Linked DNA regions of Drosophila melanogaster. The protein of the gene in region 1 binds, or shares a complex with, the protein of each later gene. Each region holds a gene or a part of one and is shown on either strand. Other genes may lie near its edges. The genes, in order: disp and hh. A codon is read from its position in the direction of its gene.

What was found.
Region 2: the proteins of disp (region 1) and hh are in contact, whole or in part, in a cryo-EM structure (PDB 6TD6), measured with the Drosophila melanogaster proteins. Residues at the interface, in NP_524734.2 of Drosophila melanogaster: His77 (codon at 4,998), His78 (codon at 4,995), Arg250 (codon at 4,479), Tyr253 (codon at 4,470), Glu296 (codon at 4,341), Ala404 (codon at 3,886), Gln405 (codon at 3,883), Ser406 (codon at 3,880), Asn407 (codon at 3,877), Arg408 (codon at 3,874), Gly434 (codon at 2,985), Asn755 (codon at 1,950); in NP_001034065.1 of Drosophila melanogaster: Tyr100 (codon at 2,381), Pro101 (codon at 2,378), Val103 (codon at 2,372), Leu104 (codon at 2,369), Lys105 (codon at 2,366), Gln106 (codon at 2,363), Thr107 (codon at 2,360), Asn110 (codon at 2,351), Leu111 (codon at 2,348), Ser117 (codon at 2,330), Glu164, Lys165, Val168, Ala228, Gly229.

What each region holds. Positions count from the first base shown.
Region 1 is NT_033777.3:5,850,282-5,858,006, forward strand, and holds the start of disp (dispatched), read right to left. Parts: upstream 6,031-7,725; 5' UTR 5,628-6,030; coding exon 5,472-5,627; intron 5,071-5,471; coding exon 4,063-5,070; intron 4,002-4,062; exon of another isoform or gene 3,932-4,001; coding exon 3,840-3,931; exon of another isoform or gene 3,823-3,839; coding exon of another isoform or gene 3,115-3,822; exon of another isoform or gene 3,051-3,114; intron 3,029-3,050; coding exon 2,486-3,028; intron 2,414-2,485; coding exon 1,775-2,413; intron 1,591-1,774; coding exon 610-1,590; intron 478-609; coding exon 240-477; 3' UTR 1-239. Other genes in the region: CG34287 (uncharacterized protein), read left to right, coding at 3,115-3,822; ECSIT, read left to right, coding at 6,390-7,619. UniProt on the Drosophila melanogaster protein: Segment polarity protein which functions in hedgehog (Hh) signaling.
Region 2 is NT_033777.3:23,138,844-23,143,758, forward strand, and holds the start of hh (hedgehog), read right to left. Parts: upstream 3,064-4,915; 5' UTR 2,679-3,063; coding exon 2,199-2,678; intron 1-2,198.

The DNA.
Region 1 (7,725 bases):
GCCTAATCCTACCAAGTACAATTACACATATATCTAGAGTATATCAATGTAGAACTCGCACAACACGTACATATGCCACCGCCAGCATATTTTAAAACTAAATATGCCGACACACGGCGTGTATATGTATATATAAATGTATCTCGGGCAGGCTTGAGAGCCGCCGTACCCTGTATAAAAATGCAGTTGCCTGATTCTTCTTGGCAACAACAACGCGTTGTCCGGCAATAGTAACTAACTCAATTGGATGTAGACGGATACGTTTGATATTTGCACTCGTGCATCGTCTGGAATGAGTGCTCGAAGTCCCTCGGCAGCGAGGACAATGCGTGGGCGCTTTCGATGCCCGAAATGGTTTTGATCAGGCTGTTGGAGTTTAGGGACTCCAGTTCGTGCGTCTCCGAGTTCGCCAACTCAACGATGGCCGAGCTTGTGGGGGTCAGCAGCTGCTCGCTGGCGATCACTTGGCTGGGTTTCCTGCACAAAGAAATTCGAGTTTTAATAACCGATAACGGGTAGTCACCCGTCAGTCAGGCTTGATAAAAATGACATTAACGCAAAACAGAGAGATATAGAAAATTGAAAGGGTCAATACGATAAAAGCCTTACCGCTCGTAGAACTTGCTGCTGCCACTGCTTCGCTTGCTCCACAACGGCCACTTGAGTTCCAGAAAACCATGCTGAGGACCGGCAACCCGAAGCAGACTCATTAGAAAGAAAGTGGCATAGAACCAGCTAACGATCATGACAACGACCAGGAAGACGCCAATCTGTATGTAGGGCAATATGTTGGATGCCATCATGATTCCGCCAGCTAGACCAGTTGTGGTGGCCGCCATCACTGTGGGTCCAATGATGCGGGATAGTACAAACTGTGTGGCTGCCAATCTCTCCTTAACCGGGGACATCCGGTAGTGAATACCGTAATGTAGGCTAAAGTCCACAGCCAGACCGATAGCCGTGCTCACCGCAATGCTCTCCAAGATGTTAAGCTGCCAGCCGAGCAGGATGAGCACAGCCACGGTGTTAAAAATACTTAGCGACACGGTTAGTACGGCGTAGATGGAAATCAATATGTTTACGGTGAAGCATAGGAGCACTGCAAGTGATGCAGCCATGGCCAGACAAATGGCAACAAAGGTGTCGTGCGAAAGGGTGTCCTGCACATTGTAAAATTTCAGGTCGCTCGTGAACCATCCTCCTTGAAGTTCCGGCGGTGCCGTTTTTAACTGCATCTGAAACCAGTGCTCTACAGACTCGTAGAACTGCCTAATATTTGCGTAGATGGTGCTGTAGGCCACGTTGGACTCGAACTCGATGACCAGGGCTTTGACTAGTAGCGGTGTAAATGATCCGTTGGTGCTGTACTCTGCACTCTCATTTCCACTCATTCCTAGGTAATCCTCAGTCTCCAGTCGGGGAGCCTCTGCAAACTTGGGTCCTGCCACGCCGGGCCGGAAAAATGTAGTGTCATACATGTTGGATATGCTTTGTGGCAAGCAGTACTCAAATATGTGCGGCTCAAAGGGAAACTGTGCGTCACAGCAGGGTGAACGGTCTTTCCTGGTACTGTCCATATCATCGATGCATCTGAACAACATGAACAAAAGCTTCTATTAATGATTGCAAATTGTATTGGTGTCTCTATATCTCCTGTCTTAATCCATCTAAACCAGTTCCAGCTTTCAAATGTAAACAAAATCGATTTTTCTGAACCCAGTTTTAATGAGCTTTCTAAGCCATTGTAAGTATGTATATAATTGTATATGCTCACCTGCGCTTCATATAGTCGATAAGATTTTCAATGAAACAATTGGGCAACAGCATGCCGAGAGTCTCTTTGTAAAAGGGTTGCTGGCGCACACTCTGGCAAAAATCAAGGATCCAGAGTTGTGCCGGCCTGCTGGATACGTTAAAATTATTGTCATAGTGCAGGTGGCCGTATGAGTTGGGGTTCGTATAGTCGCCGTCGTCCACCGCTTGAACGCCCCAGACGAAATGCATGTGCATCTTGAAGTTCTCGTACGCCTGCAATGGTTTCTCGAACCAGAACTGCTGCTTGAGACTGGAGTAAACCTCAAATGGATGCTTTGACACAAAGAGCTGGAAGTGTGATTTTTCCGGCAACTGAAGTCCTGGATACCAGAACACAATGACGGCACTGGACGCGCCTAGAGCCCCAAAGATCAGCAGCCAGAGATAGGCATAGTTCATGATGCTTTTCGTGATGCACTCCTCAAACATCTGACAAAATCGGTTAATTGACTTCTTGCAGGCGTGGATCAGCTTTATTGACATCGGATGATGGCAGGACATCCTTGTGGCAAATAGTCGTTCCATGATGGAGACCGATGCAGGCAACCAAGTTATCATTAGTAAGTAGTTGGTCACCACGACAGTTCCCGCAAAAATCCTAAAAATATAATTTATTAAATGAGCATTACTAAATATTAAGATTCATCTAATCTTGCTTTTATTAACTTACCCAAAGCACTTTATAGCTGTTATAGAGCTGCTGTAGGAGGCATAAAAGGCGCCGGCGGTGGTAAGTGAGGTAACGAACATGGAGGCAGCGGCATGTCGCATAGTCAGCGCCATTATGTTTTCCAGTGACTCCGTGTGATCACTGTTCTCCAGGGTGGGAAGAGCACTCTGGGACTGAGTGGTCAAGGTACATCGATTGCTGAACCTCTCGGTCAGCACACAGTGCCAGATCTTAAGAAACAGAAATACGTCGTCTGCTCCAATGCCAATTATTACTACCACGGCCAGAAGGTTCATATAGGGGAAGAACTCAAACTCCAGCACGATGGCGTAAAAAAAGTACGCTAGTCCTAGCGAAAAGCATATGGCTACGCAGGACATCAAGGTGATGAATGCCGATCCCGTGTACAACCACACGCTAGCCATGACGAATGTCCCTCCCAGCGAAACTAGCCACACGTCCGTCAGCAGCAGCTCGTTAAAGAGTTCGTTTTCGAGGCCCAAGTCCATCGCAACCACTTCCACAAGCTCGTTGATCAGCTCCCTGAAAAATCATTCAGAATATTATTATCAAACAGAAAACATCAAAAATATTTTTAAATAAAAGAAAAATACAAAAAAAATTGCAAAATGGATCCAGTTCAACGGGAAAAGGAATTAATTAAAATGGAATTGCCAAGGACGAGGGTGCTTGTAACCACCAGCAGAGCGGATTATGTGGATCATACTGAAAGAGCCGTTTACAATCCCCCGATTAAGAAAACCCAAGAGGATCCCTCTCTAATAAGTGGTCACTACTGCGCAAATCTAAAGGTTGGTGGCATTGAATATAAAACAAAGACATGGCCCCAATCAATGGACTGGCGGGAGGACTACGCACAGTTCATCAAGCGCAACAAGTGGTGTAACGAAAGGATCTACAAGCTATTTTTTATGTATCCGCCTGTGGATTTCCGAATTCTGAAGGACTTTGTGAAGGACCTTCGTAGATCGGTGTACATGAACGATTACTCTCGGAATGACTTCGTTTCTTTTGTAAGTCGACGGCGCTATAGGAACAAAAAAGGTTACTCTCTCAAGGACGAGGACTATCGGACCACATATGGGTGCTATTACAATTTCCTGCAGGAAACGGAGCCGTTTAGGAGCTCCTTCTATCCAGAACGTAGGCTAAAGGACACTACTCTGGACAAAATCGCCAGCGATTTACGAAAAATTTTCACAAAGTACAACTTGACCACCTATTTTGATACCATATGCGTTCCGGCCTTGATGAAAGCTAAAAATAATGTAATGCCCTCCACACCCATCGACCGGTATCAATTTCGCAAATATTAGCTGTGCTCCATACTTACACGTCTTCCCATTCGTGGAACAGTGGCAGCAAGCGGTTGGATTGCGCCACGGGTATAAAAATCATGGCGTATTTCAGGTATACATTCGAGTCCTACAAAAAAAAAAAGTGCCAATATTATATGGTCGAATTTAATGCAATACGAGTAAAGCAACGGACAAATACAAATCTGTTTTAATAAAAGAGTTTTGGGGTCTAAGCTTATTTTAAACTCAATAACTTACATTAGACTTGATGAAACTAAAGTCGGTGAGAAAATTCAGGACGTTAAAGACGATATTTAGCCGCTTGCACTCTTCAGGAGCACGACAATGCGGTATTTCGTTGCAGTGGTTGTCCATCTTTAGGTCATGGAAGTACTCATAGCAGCCCAAGAGCAGCGTGTGCAGCGAAGTAACATCCTCCGTGGTAAGGTCGAAACAGGAACTTTTGTTGGCCAGCATGGCGGCGTAGTTGGGCAGTGACCATGGCCGGCAGCACTCGGTGGTAAGCATCTCCGGCTCGCAAAATGCCCGGTAGCTGGGGACTTCGGTAATCTGATCCTGCAACTGACACATGGCCAGCAGTCCGTTCAAATCAAATAGAGAATCGGTGGCGTTGGGACCGATCCGCTGGACCACAAAATGAGAGTACTCCTTCCGGGGCGATGAATCGCAAAAGAATCCCTCGATGGGTTGGCGACGATGCATGTCTGCCCAACCGTCGGTGGGCAAGGTGGCGGCTTGCTTTAGGAGCCGCCAAGTGCTCTTCTTGGTCTGCACCCGCTGCTGATGCTCTTCCTCGTCCACTGAGGTGGTGTTGTGGCCATATTCGATTTGCTCAGTGCGTCGCGTGGGTTCCAAAGAGGAGGAAGCGCTGTCGTTTGTAATCTCGTAGTCGCGAAATACTCCACTGTCCCCGATCCAGGTGTCAAAGCCGAGATTTGGAGAGGGAGAACTAGTAGCCTTCAGCCGTTTTTTGAACTGCATCATCTTCTGCGCCACATCGTGATGCTCGTGGCTGCTTTGATTTTGTTCCTTGCGTCGCTTGTTCTTGTTTCTGTTCTTGTGCTTGTTTTTGCGTCGCCTGTGATTCGGATGCAGCTTCGTCTCCACATAGCCCTGCTCTACCCGTCTCCTCTCCCACAGATCCGATGGATTTGAGAAAAGAGCACCATGGTGGTCAGTCTCTTGCAGCAGGTTGTACCAGGCCGTCAGTCGTTCTCCAATTTTGGTGCCGCGGGTTTCGAAGCCCTAAAGTGAAATAAATGTTGAATCATAAATATTAATCATGACAAATAATCACATTATAAAGTGATCAAATAAGTCATATTAGTGAGAAATTAATCTTATTATTTTCCACAATTTTTACAACAATAACATAATAACAATGAAAATATAATACAGGAATAGTTTGTATACAAGTAATCCTGTAGTTTCTTATAGCAATTCTGTGAATATTTAAAATATTTTAACTTCTTAATATTTAAAAAAAATAGATATATAACGAAATTTAAATAAAATAATATCATTTAGACATTTTCGGATTATTTCCATGTGCTCAATATTTTAAAAAATAATTGTAAAATAAGATAAGATATATTCTCCAAATATCAAGCAGTGAACATGTTTTGGACAAATCTAATAGGACAAACCAAGGTGGGATCACTGAAGTCCGGCAGCTTGTTCAGGACGAGGGCCACGATGATGCAAGCGACACAGTAGACAGCAATGGAGACGACCACCAGGTAGGGACGCCTGGCCAGGACGTGGTAGTACCAGTTCATCCTCTCCGAGTCGAAGCACAACATGTCAGTAGAATGTGATGCCCGAATCCTCTTTACCCTCTTCGCATTGCGGGAACATCAAATGCTCCTTGGGTTTCCGCTTCCCTTCAGTGCATCCTTGGCGGCTGGAAGTCTCGAATAACGTTGGGCTGGTGGGTGCTCCTTGGGACCAAGCCAAAGTCTATTGTTTTGCTTCTGTTATAGATACTGCCTGCTGGTCAGGCCTCCGCCGCAGAGATCGGCTTGTTGGATTGCATTTTTATGTAGGCGCGCGCCCGTGCAAATAACTCAGGGTTCGGAACTAACTTAAACAACAGAAAAACAACCGAAAACTATGCGAATAAGGATAACGCAGAAAACGGTGAAATAACAACAAAAAGCAGCACAAAGGATACACTGAGTTAATACAGTGTTGAGCAACTCAGTCACCAGTGATGATGGCCCTAAGCCAGACAAACAGCTGTTCTCCGAAGGAAGAGATTCGTGAAGGTAGTCACAATGAGCTTATGCAATATTCACTTCAACTTTTGTTACTAGCGTATGACTTTAAGCGTGTATTACGGTCATGACACTATTTAAGCTTGAAAATCTTTGGGTACAGCCGAAACTAAATACAATTTTTCGCCCTAGAATTTACCAAATTTGGCTAAATACGCTAGACTATCGGCACTATTAAAACATATGTTGCAGCAGCAGTGCTGCAAAACGCGAACTAGTTCCGCAGCTTGTGCAATGTTTTGTAATCGTATTTGCAAATTTATTCAATTAATTAATTATAAATAAAAAATGCTGCGCCGCGCACAATGCCTGCTCCGGCTGCACGGCAATGGAGGCCATTCGCTGGTCAGCCGCTTTCGAAACTACGCTACGGACGAGGGAAATCCGAAACAGAACCCGAATCCAAATCCCAGGGCACAAAAACCCGGCACCAAAAACCTGCCGGCTTTAAGGAACCCCTTTGCCGCCGCCCAGGACAGGACGAAAAACAGCTACCTGACCATGGTGGAGATATTCCAGGAGCGCGACGTCCACCGTCGGAACCATGTGGAGTTCATCTACGCGGCACTCAAGAATATGGCGGATTTCGGGGTGGAAAGAGACTTGGAGGTCTACAAGGCCCTGATCAACGTGATGCCCAAGGGCAAGTTCATACCCACCAACATGTTCCAGGCAGAGTTCATGCACTACCCCAAACAGCAGCAGTGTATCATTGATCTGCTTGAGCAGATGGAAGATTGCGGGGTGATGCCCGATCACGAGATGGAGGCGATGCTGCTTAATGTGTTTGGCAGGCAGGGACATCCACTGCGCAAGTATTGGCGCATGATGTACTGGATGCCAAAGTTTAAGAACCTATCACCGTGGCCACTGCCCGATCCTGTTCCGGATGATACATTGGAAATGGCCAAGCTGGCGCTAGAGCGGATGTGCACGGTCGACCTGCGGTCCAAAATCACGGTTTTCGAGACCAGCGAGCTGAAGGATGCCATTGACGATACGTGGATCGTGAGCGGAATGAGTCCCGAGCAGGAGAAACTGCTGCGGGAGCACTCTCGCCAGAAAGCTCTGTACATCGAGGGACCCTTTCACATATGGCTTAGGAATCGCCGGATCAACTACTTTACCCTGCGCGCTGATGCAGATTCTGAGTTCCTGTCTGAATTAGATGAGCGGCAGCTGGACGAGGACGATGTCTCCCACATCGAAGTACCCTTCTTTGGTCGTGCTCCACCAAGGCGACACAACCAGCTGGGAAAGCTGCGCTCTGTCCACCAACAGGACGACGGAACCATTATGGCCATCTGTGCCACAGGCACCTCCACAAAGGACTCATTGCTCTCGTGGATTCGCCTGTTGGAAGCGAACGGAAATCCCTCCATAGGAGAGGTGCCCGTCCTCTTCCGGTTCACATCCGAAGTGCCAGCCAAGGCGGAGGAAATTGAAGGTGGCGCCAGTGTCCCGGCAACAAGTGATAACAGTAGTCAAGATGAGCACATTAGCAGTAGACAGAAATAAACAAATTGTTGAGCACTTTTTCGTCTTTGTATACCATAGAATTGATGGTAAATGTTGCTTAAAGTTAGTCGGTTTTGATCATATGTACATATATATGTACATCTGC
Region 2 (4,915 bases), about 17 Mb from region 1:
GTGGCAGTTGCCAAATGCAATTTGGAATTGGTTTTCAAGTGAAACTCTAGCAGGCGAACAACTGGTTCGATAATACGATTTAACTTTACAGTACAGTAAAATCTGATTTTTAAAGATCTAAGTCGTTTTTGCGAAACACTAACCACTGACTAATAAATCAACAAATCGAAAGTCATTGTAACACTTGTGTGGGCGATACTAAACCCTTTAAATCAACTATATTAGTCGGTTGGCAGGCGTAATCTGTCTTCCCACAATTCTGATTATTAGTTTGTTGTTCAATAGCACCAAATCGTCCAAGGAAACTGGAAGTCCGCCATAAAAGCCCAATAGCTCGTTTATGGCGCTAATCAATAACAAGGCTATTTTTACACATCGACACTTAAAATTTCATTAAAGTAACACGAAGATAAGCTGGTGGGAAGCGTGCCGATTATATATATCAGCAACTTCAATGTCGGCCCTCTTAGGGGGTCTTGACTGTGCTAAGCCGACTTCTGGCCGCAACGCAACCACCCCACTAACTGCTGGCTAATTGGAAATGTTGTCGCATGGTGCTTGAATTGAACACTTGTTTTAGCTGTTTCGCACTTTGAAACTCAACCACCGCTCCCCCACCAACTGGGTGGTCATCCCACCGCCACCCACTCCACTTTCACTACCCCCGCCCCTTTTTTTTTATGGCGATAAGATACTGCTGTTCTTCGCCTTAGCTGGTATCTTAGCACACATTTTGTTCTGGCACCGATATAGCGCAACTAGCAACGTATAACGTATAACGTATAACTTGCACCTAAACTAATTTTCACATTTTATTTCACACATAAAAACCATCATATACCTCTTTTAGCATAAACCATAAAGTGGCAAGCATATAGTATTATGCCAAGCGAACCCAATTTCTTTCAGTGCCAGCATGTAGCTACACATGTTGGCAAATATAGGGTGACTATCTGGGGGGATAGTAACCGTGTATTGGCAAACGAACTACTTGGCTGCAGTCCGCTTATCAGACAATCGCCGGTGATAAGCGGCAAATGCTCGCGTGCCTCCACTTTTGGGGCGCGGACAGGGTGGGCGGTGGGCGGTGGGCGGTGGTTTTGGCTGAGTAAAACCTGATAAATACCGGGACTTGTAATCTCCCGCATTCGATACCCTGTTTGTTGTTCAGCGCGAAATCGAAAACGCATTTGCGAAGCGTACACACAATGTTGAGTAAACTATGTATTTGCAATGATGACCCGGGGATCGATTGGGCTCGAGGTTGTTGAACGCGTTCGCTCGGTTTGTTTGGATTTCGGGACGCTTTGCAGCTTTATGGCTTAGTTCGATGGAATTCAGGCGCTATCTACCGTTCAGCCGTCGAGTATCGGGCTTCCTGTTTTTTTGCACTTGCGAAACAAGTGCAGTGCGGCGATAAGATGCATAATTAATCATATAAATGGCCAATGCTCAAAACTAATACTATATTTCAGCCCAGTTTTATGGCAGCCATCGCCACCATAAAGTTGGTGAAATAGCCAATGCTCGATCAATGATTGGGCACTTTTCCGCCACGTAGCGTTTATCAATGGGAACCGAGTGGCACAATCTCGTGCCATCGGGCGATCGCTAGATACGGGCTATAAAACAGCGCGAGCGATAAGCGATCGCTAATTTGACAATTGAATTTACGGACCACGACGGGTGGCAAAATGTGAGTGCAGTGCGCAATAAGCACGGAATTAGCCTAGCCGCAAATCGGAACCCAGCTGTCTGATATAGAAGACGAATTCGGAACAATATCAGCAATAAAATCTCATCTAAATGGTGTGTTTGACCTCCATACCTCAGATTTAACAGGCATTTCATTGTGTTCCTATATCAAAGTAGGCTTACTTTTATCACAAAATAATACCTAGACCAAATATTAAGTGTACTATTAAAGCATTACAAGTTCCGTTTGGTAGAGTTATCTCACATTTTTTCCTAGAATTAGTCATTTATTTGGCGTAAGACTGGGTTTTCACTTCATTTGTGTTGCTAACAATACTAAATGTTAAGTAATTTCTGATTAATCGTGATTAATAAGTCAATATTTCGGTTTTTACAAATAATTTTTAAGTCACTTTGTCACAATGATTCCGATAAGCGAAACTTTCCCAATGATGTATTACAAATTTTGTTACTAGCTTACGGTGTTTGAGGGTTTTCCTTACCTTGCTCATCAAGCGATCCGCTCCGGTGCCTTCCTCGTCGCGGAAAAGGATGTCCCTGTTGTAGTTGGGCACGAGGTCCTTGAATTTGGGCGAGTCCCGACGGATCACACCCTCCAGAGGTCCGGAGGCGCTGTTCGTGTACTCGGATAGATTGGGAATTGTCTGCTTGAGGACCAGCGGATACAGGTTGCGCGCCCTATGACGACCCAATCCTCGGCCAGGACCGCAGCTGTGAGCCGGGCTAAAGACCATCGGCAAGACGATCAGCAGCAGGGCCACCAGAGAGGTCAGCCTGCTGAGGCAACGCTGCGTATGCGCAATGTGGCGCATCGTTTGCGTTTCTTCTTGCGGGATTGCGGAGATGGAGCTCGCTGCGGATTTGGAGCTGGAACTGGAACTGGAACTGTGGCATTTGGCATCCAGGGAGAGACAGGTGACACTGGCGGCACTGGCCCAAGGCACTGAGCTGTGGTTATCCATGATTTATCTAAGACTCGTTGTTTGCTGTTTCTCTTGATTGGATTTTGTATCTCCTTTAATTTTTTTTATTTATTTTTTTGGTTATTTAGCACTTCACTTTTGGCACACAGACACGCTTATTTGGCGACACGTTTGTTATTCAGATTTATGGTATTATTTGGATTTAAACTGGCTAAATCGAAATACTTGAGTCGGCGAAATCGCAGGTCCTAACTGACTTAACTACGGTCTTAACTGTTCTCCGCTGAACTGGCAGTTAGCTCTCGGTTCGGACAACCGTTGCGCTCGCACTGTGATTGACAAATGACATTTCCGAGCGGAGTATCGTGCGCGCAGAGTGTTCGAGTGCGAGTACGAGTACGGCAGCGAATACGAATGCGAGTATAAGTACGAGTACGACGAGGGTGCTTTCAAGAACCCTAGGCCTTTTAGCTCACACAAACACACACGCACACACACACTATCGCCTCGAGTTCATTCCGCGTTGTGATTGTATGCGTATGCCACTCGACGTTCGATCGGCTGTGGTGTTCATTTTTATGCTGCCTTATGCGCAAGGGAAGTGGAAGCGGGACAACCAGATGATGCAGCATACTCACAAGACTGGTTTGCATGTGTTAGTGCCTGAGTCTTCGGCTCTTATGTACAAGCAATGTTGGCAACAGATGTTGGATGGCATTGGCATAGTGTGCTGCGGTCCATTATGGCCATGGATGAAAGTGTGTGCCTGTTGCCAATTGGATGTGTGATAGTGTGCGTTGCTGGCGCAGAAGAGCTGCAGCATCCTCGACTGCAACTGCAATTTCTCTTAACACTTGCACTACTCGGACTCGACTCGACTCGAGTCTTGTGGCTTGTTAGCCGCTTCTGGCCCTGCAACTCCTCCATCGCAGGCCATTGTTCACTTTTTTCCGTTGCCTTTCTTCGTTTTGTTGTTCGTTTCGCTTTATTGCTTGTAAATTAATAATGTTCCGGTTTTTTGTGTATTGTGTGACTCCTGGGCAGCCTTATATATATACATACATATATATGTATATTGTATATGGTATGATATGTGGAGTACATATGGGTTCAATGCTGCTTCCGTTTGCCAGTCTTCAAGGAACGGAAAAAGTGCTTAAAACTAAAGTACTTTATGATCATCGAAGGCTCCGAGCTTATGTCACCCAGTGAGTCATTCATATGCCCCTCAGGTAGTGGTCATGTTCCGATTAGATATCGCCTTAGGACCTACAAATTACTGGTCAATTTAACAATTTCCTTCTCCGCCAGAGGTTCCGTTCAACGCCATGTCAATAATCGCAAATATGTCTATATATATTGCAAAAACCGATAACGATTTTGGCAAATACAATTTGCAATTAGGTACCTTATATTTATGCACAGCAAATAACTAAGTTGCGGATTGATGCCGCACTCTGGAAATCAATAAATTTCCAGTTTTATCTCTGTTGACTTTGGCTAATATAAAATTCCCCACAACTGGGAAATCTCCAATTTAACTTTTTAGCTTTTTCGCACTTTCAGAACTTGGATCTGTGGCAAGCGCTAATCTTTTGTTTTGGCTCTTTTTCCAGACCTTATTTATTTTTTTGCGGTTGCACCAGGTCTATTTGCACTGTCACTTGGCAAGCGCGAATTGTGGAATACGCCCGTCAATGTGTGCCCAAGAAATTGTCACTTTCCAACGGGGTAGAACCAAGGGCCAAGGTGCACCTGCTCATGTAACGGATTCCATGGGGGGGCATAGCATTTTTTTTTTTTTTGGTAACGCTCTGGAATGCAAGGCATAGCATAATAATTTCGACAAAAAACGAAATGAATCGAAGAAAAAAAATAAAACGAATCGAAAGAGGAGAAATACAATAGCTGGTCGTGGCGGCAAAAGATATAAGAGAAGGCAAAACGCCATCAACAAGATACACGGAACCAAATTAAAGATGAAGAAGCTGAAATGGAAGGGGGTATGGAATATACGAGTCTTGGATGCTGGGCCATCGGGCATTCGAGTGTGTGTGCGAGAGTCTATGTGGCTGCCACATAAATTTCTGCCTTCTTTGTGTGCGCACCGAACTCATTACGTTCGTCGCTGTGTGTATCTGTGTGAGTTTCGAATGTGTCTTTGGGCCTCCGCATCTGTATCTGTATCTGTATCTGTGGGGCGGAGCTGCTTAAGGCGCTCATTTGTGAATGAACACACAACACACCGTGAACAAGCCAGATACAGATGCGAAGAC